Saccharomyces cerevisiae S288C: one gene and its partner. Changing the gene in region 1 together with any one later gene gives a genetic interaction. Each region holds a gene or a part of one and is shown on either strand. Other genes may lie near its edges.

Evidence for each region.
Region 2: mutations in BNA4 (region 1) and TNA1 together harm fitness more than expected from each alone (negative genetic interaction), as found in Saccharomyces cerevisiae (3 studies listed by BioGRID).

Annotation. Positions count from the first base shown.
Region 1 is NC_001134.8:37,226-41,027, forward strand, and holds BNA4 (kynurenine 3-monooxygenase), read left to right. Parts: upstream 1-1,919; coding exon 1,920-3,302; downstream 3,303-3,802. Other genes in the region: ATP1 (F1F0 ATP synthase subunit alpha), read left to right, coding at 1-1,465; condensin subunit BRN1, read left to right, coding at 3,606-3,802. UniProt on the Saccharomyces cerevisiae protein: Catalyzes the hydroxylation of L-kynurenine (L-Kyn) to form 3-hydroxy-L-kynurenine (L-3OHKyn). Required for synthesis of quinolinic acid.
Region 2 is NC_001139.9:1,008,823-1,017,096, reverse strand, and holds TNA1 (Tna1p), read right to left. Parts: upstream 4,613-8,274; coding exon 3,008-4,612; downstream 1-3,007. Other genes in the region: serine/threonine protein kinase BUD32, read left to right, coding at 1-123; APL6 (AP-3 complex subunit beta), read left to right, coding at 347-2,776; ssDNA endodeoxyribonuclease RAD2, read left to right, coding at 6,331-8,274. UniProt on the Saccharomyces cerevisiae protein: Involved in the uptake of nicotinic acid.

The sequences.
Region 1 (3,802 bases):
CGAGGCCAATTTGAACGAAACTGGTAGAGTTCTTGCAGTCGGTGATGGTATTGCTCGTGTTTTTGGTTTGAACAACATTCAGGCTGAAGAATTGGTCGAGTTCTCCTCTGGTGTTAAAGGTATGGCTTTGAACTTGGAGCCTGGTCAAGTCGGTATCGTTCTTTTCGGTTCCGATAGACTGGTTAAAGAAGGTGAATTGGTCAAGAGAACCGGTAATATTGTTGATGTCCCAGTCGGTCCAGGCCTTTTGGGTAGAGTTGTCGACGCTTTAGGTAACCCTATTGATGGTAAAGGTCCTATTGACGCTGCCGGTCGTTCAAGAGCTCAAGTCAAAGCACCAGGTATTTTGCCAAGAAGATCTGTCCATGAACCAGTTCAAACCGGTTTGAAAGCCGTTGACGCCTTGGTCCCTATCGGTAGAGGTCAAAGAGAGTTGATTATTGGTGATCGTCAAACAGGTAAGACTGCTGTCGCCTTAGACACCATCTTGAATCAAAAGAGATGGAATAACGGTAGTGACGAATCCAAGAAACTTTACTGTGTTTACGTTGCCGTTGGACAAAAAAGATCTACCGTTGCTCAATTGGTCCAAACTTTGGAACAACATGACGCCATGAAGTACTCTATTATTGTTGCAGCTACTGCATCTGAAGCCGCTCCTCTACAATACTTGGCTCCATTTACTGCCGCATCCATTGGTGAATGGTTCAGAGATAATGGAAAGCACGCTTTGATCGTCTATGACGATTTGTCCAAGCAAGCCGTGGCATACCGTCAATTATCTTTGTTGTTGAGACGTCCTCCTGGTCGTGAAGCCTACCCTGGTGATGTCTTTTACTTGCATTCAAGATTGCTAGAAAGAGCCGCTAAGCTTTCTGAAAAGGAAGGTTCTGGTTCTTTAACTGCTTTGCCTGTTATTGAAACCCAAGGTGGTGATGTCTCCGCTTATATTCCAACCAATGTTATTTCCATTACCGATGGTCAAATTTTCTTGGAAGCTGAATTATTCTACAAGGGTATCAGACCTGCCATTAACGTTGGTTTGTCCGTTTCTCGTGTCGGTTCCGCTGCTCAAGTTAAGGCTTTGAAGCAAGTCGCTGGTTCCTTGAAATTGTTTTTGGCTCAATACAGAGAAGTCGCTGCTTTTGCTCAATTCGGTTCCGATTTAGATGCCTCCACCAAGCAAACTTTGGTTAGAGGTGAAAGATTGACTCAATTGTTGAAGCAAAACCAATATTCTCCTTTGGCTACAGAAGAACAGGTTCCATTGATTTATGCCGGTGTTAATGGTCATTTGGATGGTATTGAACTATCAAGAATTGGTGAATTTGAGTCCTCCTTTTTGTCCTATCTAAAATCCAATCACAATGAGCTTTTGACCGAAATTAGAGAAAAGGGTGAATTGTCTAAAGAATTGTTGGCATCTCTAAAGAGTGCTACTGAATCATTTGTTGCCACTTTTTAATGTGAACTAAAAAAATAAAAATGAATATAAGGTACGTCTCAAAAAGAAATGTAAATATAGAAATTTTAAAAAAAAAAACGAAAAAAAACATAACTAAATTTAAAGTGCAGCCAAACAATAACCCTGAAAAATCTAAATATCTTAGAATTTTTTTATTTTGATTATTATATATTATTATTATTCTTATGGTAAATAATGCCCCTACTTTTCTTCTAAGGAAATGAGTTACTACAAAAATAAGGAAATATCGCCTGCAAGCGGTTTTTATTTTGGAGTTGTTTTTTTTTTTCCCACAATAGCCTCTAGTTTATTCCATTCTTAGCACTGACTCTTTTTTCCGCCACTATTTCTTATAAAAGGCCCGAATTTCTGGCACGGACGTTGTTTTTAATAATAAAATATTGAATGACAGTTAAAAAATCACGTAGTCAGTTAATCTGTTTAACTTGAAAATATGTCTGAATCAGTGGCCATTATAGGTGCAGGATTAGTAGGCTGCCTTGCAGCTTTGGCATTCTCCAAAGAAGGCTACAATGTCACACTATATGATTTTAGACAAGATCCTCGATTGGACACCACCAAAAATAAAAATTTGAAATCCATTAATTTGGCTATTTCTGCTCGTGGCATTGATGCTCTGAAATCAATAGATCCGGATGCTTGTGAACATATTCTGCAAGATATGATTCCCATGAAAGGCAGGATGATTCATGACTTGAAAGGCAGACAGGAATCACAATTGTATGGCTTGCATGGAGAAGCTATTAATTCTATCAATAGATCTGTATTAAATAATAGCCTTTTGGACGAATTAGAAAAATCTACAACAGAACTGAAGTTCGGTCACAAATTAGTCAAAATCGAATGGACAGATGATAAACAAATCTGTCATTTTGCCATTGGGGAAGATTTGAAAACCCCACATACTGAAAAGTATGATTTTGTCATAGGTTGTGACGGAGCATACTCTGCGACGAGATCGCAAATGCAACGTAAAGTTGAGATGGATTTTTCACAAGAATATATGAATTTACGTTACATTGAACTTTACATCCCGCCTACTGAGGAATTCAAGCCAAACTATGGCGGAAATTTTGCAATAGCTCCTGACCATTTGCACATTTGGCCTCGTCATAAATTCATGTTAATTGCGCTCGCCAACAGTGACGGCTCGTTCACTTCAACCTTTTTCGGTTCTAAAGATCAAATATCAGATCTGATAACTTCCAAGTCACGTGTGAGGGAATTCTTAATCGAGAACTTTCCCGATATTATTAATATTATGGATTTGGACGATGCTGTCAAAAGGTTTATCACTTATCCAAAGGAAAGTCTTGTCTGTGTAAACTGTAAGCCATACGATGTACCAGGCGGAAAGGCCATCCTACTCGGCGACGCTGCCCATGCAATGGTTCCATTTTACGGCCAAGGTATGAATTGCGGATTTGAAGATGTGAGAATTCTTATGGCGCTATTGAAAAAGCATTCAGGAGATCGTTCAAGAGCCTTTACTGAGTACACTCAAACAAGACATAAGGACCTAGTTTCTATTACTGAGCTGGCAAAAAGGAACTATAAAGAAATGTCACATGACGTTACATCCAAGCGGTTTTTATTAAGGAAAAAGCTAGATGCTCTCTTTAGTATTATAATGAAGGATAAGTGGATACCTTTGTATACAATGATATCTTTCAGATCCGATATCTCGTATTCTAGAGCTTTAGAAAGGGCTGGAAAGCAAACACGTATCTTGAAATTCTTAGAATCTCTGACACTCGGTATGTTATCTATTGGCGGTTACAAGCTTTTCAAATTTTTGACAAGAGAACGTTCCTGAAGCCAGTTTATTCTTGCCATCCGTGTACGCTAGGAGAGGATTATTAAAATAAGTGATATATACATATATATATATATATATATATATATAATACACTAATTATTTTATGTGATGTTGATCACGCGAAACGGTAAACGGCTCTGTTCGCGCTTTCTTTGTTTACATTTTAGTGAAGTATTGTCAAGATAATATCCATATGGTTGAACTTTTTATATTGGCTAGTTAAATACTCTATTTATTGCACCAAAAAATCATCTTAGTGGACTTTTTGGAGCAAAAAAAACCAGCAGGTAGTTATATAAGATGACTACACAACTAAGGTATGAAAATAACGATGACGATGAAAGAGTAGAATATAATCTCTTTACCAATAGATCCACCATGATGGCAAATTTTGAAGAATGGATCAAAATGGCTACAGATAATAAAATCAATTCCCGAAATAGTTGGAATTTCGCATTGATCGACTATTTTTATGACTTGGACGTTTTGAAAGATGG
Region 2 (8,274 bases), on another chromosome or scaffold:
ATGGAGGGGTTCGAAGAGGTCTATCGTGAACAAGGTGCGAAAGGTGCCAAGAAACTGAAAGAAGTTACCAAAAGATTCGAAGAGGTCAGGTTGCGTGGTCGTAAGAGAAGTATGCTAGGATAATATAAATGCTAGCGTACTGCCTGTATATCGCTGCACATAATATGTATCTATAATTTATATTAACGTACATAACTTTTAGGTATGTTACCATCAAAGCGTGTCCGAGTTATTGAGATTTTGACAAATTCAGACAAATCATTTTTGAAGAACCATATATATAAATATATAAAGAAAAGAAAGGTAAACCAAAGACAGCAAACAATCGAAAAGTGGACAACCAGCAATGGTAGATTCAATTCACCGTATTGCATCGGCGTTGGATACGGCCAAAGTAATAACGAGGGAAGCTGCCGCGGTAGCCACCTCTAAGCTGGGTGAATCCTCCTATACTTATTATTCTCAAAACATCAATCCTCAACAGTTAGTCACCTTGTTAAATTCTAGGAACTCTAGAGAAGTTAGAGATGCAATGAAGAGAATAATATCTATAATGGCTTCCGATGATGACTCTATTGACGTTCAATTATACTTTGCTGATGTTGTAAAGAATATCACCACTAATGACACCAAAGTGAAAAGACTTATTCACCTGTATTTACTTAGATTTGCAGAAAATGACCCAAACCTGACCCTGTTATCTATTAATTCTCTTCAAAAATCATTGTCTGATTCGAATTCCGAACTGAGATGCTTTGCTTTGAGTGCCCTTTCTGACATGAAAATGTCATCATTAGCACCTATAATTTTGCATACTGTCAAGAAATTGGTTACAGATCCATCTGCAATGGTTCGTGGTGAAGTCGCCTTGGCCATTATCAAATTATATAGGGCTGGAAAGAATGACTATCATGAAGAATTGTTGGATATTCTGAAAGAATTAATGGCAGATACAGATCCTAAGGTGATATCCTGTGCTGTCCTAGCTTACAAAGAATGTTATGCGGATCACTTGGAGCTATTGCATGGACATTTTCGCAGATATTGTAGAATAATTAAGCAACTAGATTCGTGGTCACAATCATATTTAATTGAGCTGCTAATCAAGTACTGTAAGCAGTATTTACCAAAACCAACTGTGGTCGATAAATCATCAGAAGGTTCCCCAAGGAGTTGTCCTTTACCAGATAAATACAACGAGATTGAATACCCATCTTACGAGGTGGTAAATGACCCTGATTTAGATTTATTTCTACAGAGTTTGAATTGCTTAATTTATAGTTCCAACCCTACAGTGATTTTATCGTGTTGCAATGCGCTATATCAGTTAGCTTCACCATTGCAGATGAAAAATACTAAATTTATTGAAGCATTGGTTAGAACGGTAACCATGACAGAAAACCAAGGTAACAAAGAAATGCTTTTACAAGCAATTCACTTCTTATCGATCTTAGACCAGACACTATTTTTACCCTACACCAAGAAATTTTACGTTTTCCCCAAAGATCCTATTGTGGCATCAATTTGGAAGATCCAAATTTTGTCCACGTTAATAAATGAATCAAACGTTAAAGAAATATTCAAAGAATTGAAATATTATGTTGCCAGTGCTCATTTCCCAGAAAATGTTGTTATTATGGCGGTTAAGTCATTATCTCGATGTGGCCAATTGTCAACGAGTTGGGAATCACATGTAATGAAGTGGTTAATTGATCATATGGAATCCCACAACCTCTCTGCTTCTGTCCTAGATGCATACGTGAATGTTATCAGGATGCTGGTGCAAAAAAATCCTACAAAACATCTTCGCATAATCTTCAAGCTTGCAGATTTATTAACAGTTCAAACGAGTTTGGCTGATAATGCTCGTGCAGGTATTGTTTGGTTATTTGGTGAAATTGCCTCGATTGAATTTAAGATATGTCCGGACGTTTTGAGGAGGCTAATCCAGAATTTTTCAAATGAGGGTCCTGAGACAAGATGTCAGATCTTAGTGTTATCAGCAAAACTGTTGTCATATGACATTGATAATTTTAAGCAAGCGCAAGTTACTGGAAGCGAAGAAAATAACCAAAATCCCCCATACTATGATTTTAGTGGTTCAAGAATCTCTCAAATGTACAATGCGGTCCTTTACTTGGCAAAATATGATGACGAATTTGATATTAGGGATAGAGCCAGGATGATTTCATCCTTGTTTGATTCAGGGAAATATGAAATTGTGTCACTACTATTACAAGCACCTAAACCTACGGCAAGAAGTGACGATTTTATCGTTTCTGCAAGATTGGAAACACATACCCCAGAAATAAAAGAATTTTTTAGAATGCTTCCTTGGAATACTGAAATTACTGAGGTTGGCGAGACAGGTAACGATATTAGAGAAGGCGCAGAATTGAAAGACTATAACAAATACAAAAAAAGTTTTTCATCGCAGTCTTTTATTACCAACAACTCAGCAAGATCTTTCACATCTAGCTCCAACGCAAAATTGACTGGGATCAATGACGGCGATAGCAATAGCATCTCAGGTAAAGGTAACGTAAACACCTTCACATCTCAAAACGGGAAGAAATATCGTTTGCAAAGCCTGGACGAGTTTTTTTCCGACATTCCAGAAAGGAAGAGTAAACCAAGGAAAATTATAAAGGTGGTGGAAGAAAGCAGTGACGAGGATGAAGACGAATCGGAAGAGAGCAGTGACGATGATGAGTATAGTGACTCTTCTTTGGGAACGTCTTCTTCGGGAACGTCTTCTTCGCATCTGGAGCTTTAGAACTCGGAGATAATACTATATAAATATGTATATTTATAGATATAGATATAGGCATGTATATCTTCCCAGTAATATACGTGTTTGGGACGAAAACAAAAGAGAAGTTGGTAAACAAAGTTTCATGTGAATTTGCTTAGTACAAAAATACATACAAATATAAAAGAAAAGTTACAAATTGCAAACACACTCATAACGAGGGGCAAAAAAAGTGGAGGGTGAAGAAAGTCAAGCCTAATACATGTACTTAAACTCAGGGTTTTTGTCGCTTAACCTTTCGTCGTATGGAATAGGCTCTCCCAATTCATTACAGCGATCTATTATTGCTTTCTTTTTATCGTTTTCCCTCTTGTATAGGAAAATTTGCACAACCGTCATAAATATGGAGAAGACTTGAAAGGCCAGACTAATCGACAGCCCTTTGATATATCTTGGCTTGTCTTTGGCAACAAAAATTTGACCAGAGACCAACCCTGAACCAGACCCGAAAAATAGATTAATTCCTAAAGCGGTGGCTCTCTTGAAGTAATTACCAGTGTTACCACTTAACCATAAACAGTTACAGGCAGCATTAACGTAAATACCCATACAAAGAATGTAAACGCCAAAATATCTCACACCATGAACTTGAGAACCAAGGACGATAGCTATGCCTATCGAAGTCGTCAGACAAGCACCCAGGATGAATGGAGATCTCAACTTTATACGATCAGACCAAACGGCACAAATGAAGAACACAATTGCTGTAAGGAAATAGATGGGCACGGTCATTAATTGAGCTCTGACATTAGTGAACCCCATACTGGTAATGATGATCGGCAAGAAGACTGTTAGACCAAAAGTAGTCAAATCGATACCGAATAATGCCACAGCACTAGCCCAAGTCTTGACATCCTTAACTGCTTGCCACACTTGGAACCATTCAAATTTTTCGTCCGGGTCAAAAGTGTTCATAGTCTTGTATCTTTCGGAAATGTACTCTTTTTCCTCCTTATTGAAAAACCACGAATCCTCCAAATTTTTGCTCAACCCGAAGGCATAGAATGGTACGAACCCCAAAGAGATACAACCTTCGACAATGTAAATGTATTGCCAGTCCTTTAGAGAACCGCTGATTTTGGAACAACCATAAGCAATCAGCCCACCAAAAGATGAAGACAAACAGGCTGCACTGAAGACAAAAGCGAACCTCAGAGCATATTGTTCTCTTCTATAGCAGACTGAAAGGTACATGTTAATAGCGGGATAAATCATACCTTCAAAGGCACCCAGTAGTAGTCTGACAACGATCAATTGAGCATAATTCTTAACCCAAGCAGTTCCGAGCGAAATAGCACCGAAACAGGTCAAACAGATACTCATCATTAATGGCGGACCCATAATTTTCAGAAGGTTAGTACCTATGGGGTCGAAAAGAACATACGTCGCGAAAAAAACTGTGACACATGTGTTATATTGCGTTCCTACAAGGTGGATATCCTTGGATAGACCTGCAACTTCTGCGTTACCAATATTCGATTTATCCAGGTTAGAAAGGAAATATAGCATCCCCATAAGAGGAATCAAGTATATATCCATTTTGCGCAAGACACGCTTTTCCATTGGATGGGAAGGGGAGGGGATGCCGTCATCATCCGTGGTAGTAGCCATAATTTCCCGTTCGGTGGCAAGTTCCGACTTCTTGTCATGGCTGCGATTATGCAAGCTAGCGTCATGGCCTTCATCTTCCTGGAACGTGACTTCCGTAGGCTTTTCTTCTGATCCATCATTGGTGGGTGATATGAAAAGCACATCATCCACCAAATGCTTAGGTGACTCCATTGTAAATTTGTTGCTCATCTAGAGGTAATGACAATAGTTCAATGCTCGAAAGTGAAGAAATATTTCTTTTTTTTTTTATATAAGCCTTCTGCGCAGTCGTTTTTTTTTCAGTCGCTGTCTCACGGGGGAAAATAGTTTGAAAAAGGCGAAGAGGGGGAAAACTGTGATGTGAATACGACTTCTAAGACAGTAAATATGGACGTATGCTTATAGCTTGGAGAGTTAGTTAATATAGAGAAATATAAATAGTAGATAAGAAGTACATATGAAACAAAAAAAAAATGGCAATAAAATAACAAAAGGATCTCGAGTAGGAACATACTTCAAAGAAAGGAAAACTCATGGTTTATATATTATCCAGAATTTTTAACGTAATCGGAGATGCGACAGATATTTCAGGGTGTATGGATGAGGTCAAAACAATACTAATCACACACGCCGCGAAGCCTTCGACGGTTCGTAACCTGTCCTCATGTGTGACGCATAGGATTCTACGGTAGATCCCGAGTATGCCCGGCTGTGATTGGTAACTATGATTGCGAGTAATAAGCGATCCGGCGTCCGGTGGTATTTTCTATTTTGTTGGTGCGACCGCTTCTTCGCAGAGAATGGGTGACTTGTAAAAGGAGAGAGACACTGGAAAAACCAACAGAATACGAGCAGGAAACTAGAAAATAAAAAACTAAAAAAAAAAAAAAACAAAAAGGAAAGGAAAAATTAGTAGAAGCCGGCGACGATTGCAGAATCCAGAGGGATACCGCTGTAACAGAGAATACGGGCACCCAGACAAGTGACTGGCGCCAGACTTTGTTATTTCACCTGGACCCGAATAATAATATTAAATAGTGATAATAATAATAACATATAGCATAAATAATAATGTACAAAATAATAATAATAAATAAATAAATGGTTCACCATGGACTGTACAGGCGTTCCGGAACGCACATAGTGACAGTACAAGACCTGGTTGTGTGCCATAATGGCCGGCATGTGAAATCGCGGCTTCTGTATATGTACATATCTGTTCTTTTACCATGTCGTCCATTTTCCGTTCACTTTAGCCAACACGGCGACGTTGTGCGGAATTGATTTGAAGTCGATTTTTTCTATGGAGTATTCCCAAACTGCCCCCAAATTTTGCAAATTAGTGCGCGGGGTGAATGGGTGCGTCAGAGCATTTACTGACACCTGGCGGCATAAGCAGCGACGTATCGTGTCCAAGGCAGGCCATAGCAAGAGCGTTTGTGATTGATTTTCAAGGCGCAGATACCATTGGAACACAGTAGCGCAGAAGGTACTCCTCAAAAGAGACAGAGAGAGAAATCAGAGTCAGGGAGCTTAGTAGCTGCTGTTACCAATATTATACAATAAGTAAGGTTTGCATATGCGGAAACTTCGCACTTGAATTTTTTTTTTTTTCTTTTTTGGTAGCTTTTTGATGTTTCCAGAGGATGTGAGTCAATGAGTGGTGTGACCCCAATACCACATTTTGTTGCTGTTTTTTTTTTTTCATTGTTAATTATCACTATTTTTTTTTCTTTCTAGTATAACCCATTCGAACCTCCGTGGAGGCATTAAAAGGGAGAGTGAAAAAAAAAAAAAGAAAAGAAAAAGAAAAGATGCCGCCACATATAGAGACCTTAAAGGGATTGAAAAACTGTACGTAAATCATTGAAGGTTCTACACGTCATCCATGAAGAAAAGCATTTTCGGGAGAACGCCAAACTTCAGACATGGGTGTGCATTCATTTTGGGATATTGCAGGTCCTACGGCAAGACCGGTCAGGCTGGAATCCTTGGAAGATAAGAGAATGGCAGTAGATGCCTCCATTTGGATATATCAGTTTTTGAAAGCTGTCCGTGATCAGGAGGGGAATGCAGTGAAGAATTCTCATATTACTGGGTTCTTTAGAAGAATTTGTAAGCTATTATACTTTGGCATTAGGCCGGTATTCGTCTTTGATGGTGGTGTGCCCGTATTGAAAAGGGAAACAATACGGCAGAGGAAAGAAAGAAGACAGGGAAAACGAGAGAGTGCGAAATCCACCGCTAGGAAGCTGCTGGCTTTACAATTGCAAAACGGCTCAAACGATAACGTAAAAAACTCTACACCGAGTAGTGGCAGTAGTGTGCAGATCTTCAAACCTCAGGACGAGTGGGACTTGCCCGATATACCGGGATTCAAATACGATAAGGAAGATGCAAGAGTTAACTCTAATAAAACTTTTGAAAAACTGATGAATTCGATAAACGGTGATGGACTGGAAGACATTGATTTAGACACTATAAATCCAGCATCGGCCGAATTTGAAGAGCTGCCAAAGGCCACACAGTATTTGATATTATCGTCGTTGAGGTTGAAATCAAGACTGAGGATGGGATACTCGAAAGAACAATTGGAGACCATCTTCCCAAATAGTATGGATTTCTCAAGATTTCAAATAGACATGGTGAAAAGGAGGAATTTTTTTACTCAAAAGTTAATCAACACTACTGGGTTTCAGGATGGTGGAGCGTCTAAGCTGAACGAGGAGGTGATCAATAGGATATCCGGCCAAAAGAGTAAAGAGTACAAGTTGACTAAGACTAATAACGGGTGGATTCTTGGACTAGGGGCAAACGATGGCTCTGATGCGCAAAAAGCAATCGTAATAGACGATAAAGATGCAGGCGCTTTGGTAAAGCAGTTAGATAGTAATGCTGAGGACGGGGACGTGCTCCGATGGGATGATTTGGAAGATAATTCCTTAAAAATAGTGCGACATGAGTCTTCTAACGCGACGACAGCTCCACAGAAAAGGAGTAACCGGTCAGAAGATGAGGGATGTGACTCTGATGAATGTGAGTGGGAAGAAGTTGAACTCAAGCCCAAGAACGTCAAGTTTGTGGAAGATTTTTCTTTGAAAGCTGCAAGGTTGCCTTACATGGGCCAATCCCTAAACAACGCTGGCAGTAAATCGTTTTTGGACAAAAGACATGATCAGGCATCGCCCTCCAAGACTACTCCAACAATGAGAATTAGCAGAATCAGCGTGGAAGACGACGATGAGGATTACCTGAAACAAATTGAGGAAATTGAAATGATGGAGGCAGTGCAACTTTCTAAGATGGAAAAGAAACCTGAAGCGGACGACAAATCAAAAATCGCTAAGCCGGTAACGTCAAAAGGTACAGAGGCTCGTCCACCAATAGTACAGTATGGATTACTTGGCGCACAACCGGATAGTAAGCAACCGTATCATGTCACAAATTTGAATAGCAAATCAGAGTCGGTCATCAAAAGGACCAGCAAGACAGTTCTTTCTGAGTTTAGGCCACCGTCTCAGCAGGAGGATAAAGGGGCTATTTTAACAGAGGGGGAGCAAAACCTGAATTTTATTTCTCACAAGATACCACAGTTTGATTTTAACAATGAAAATTCCCTGCTTTTTCAAAAGAATACCGAGAGTAATGTGTCCCAAGAAGCCACGAAGGAAAAGTCTCCAATTCCTGAAATGCCGAGCTGGTTTTCTTCAACTGCTTCCCAGCAGTTGTATAATCCCTATAACACAACAAATTTCGTGGAAGATAAAAACGTAAGAAATGAACAAGAAAGTGGAGCAGAAACTACCAATAAAGGGAGTAGCTATGAACTCTTGACAGGCTTAAATGCTACGGAAATATTAGAAAGAGAAAGC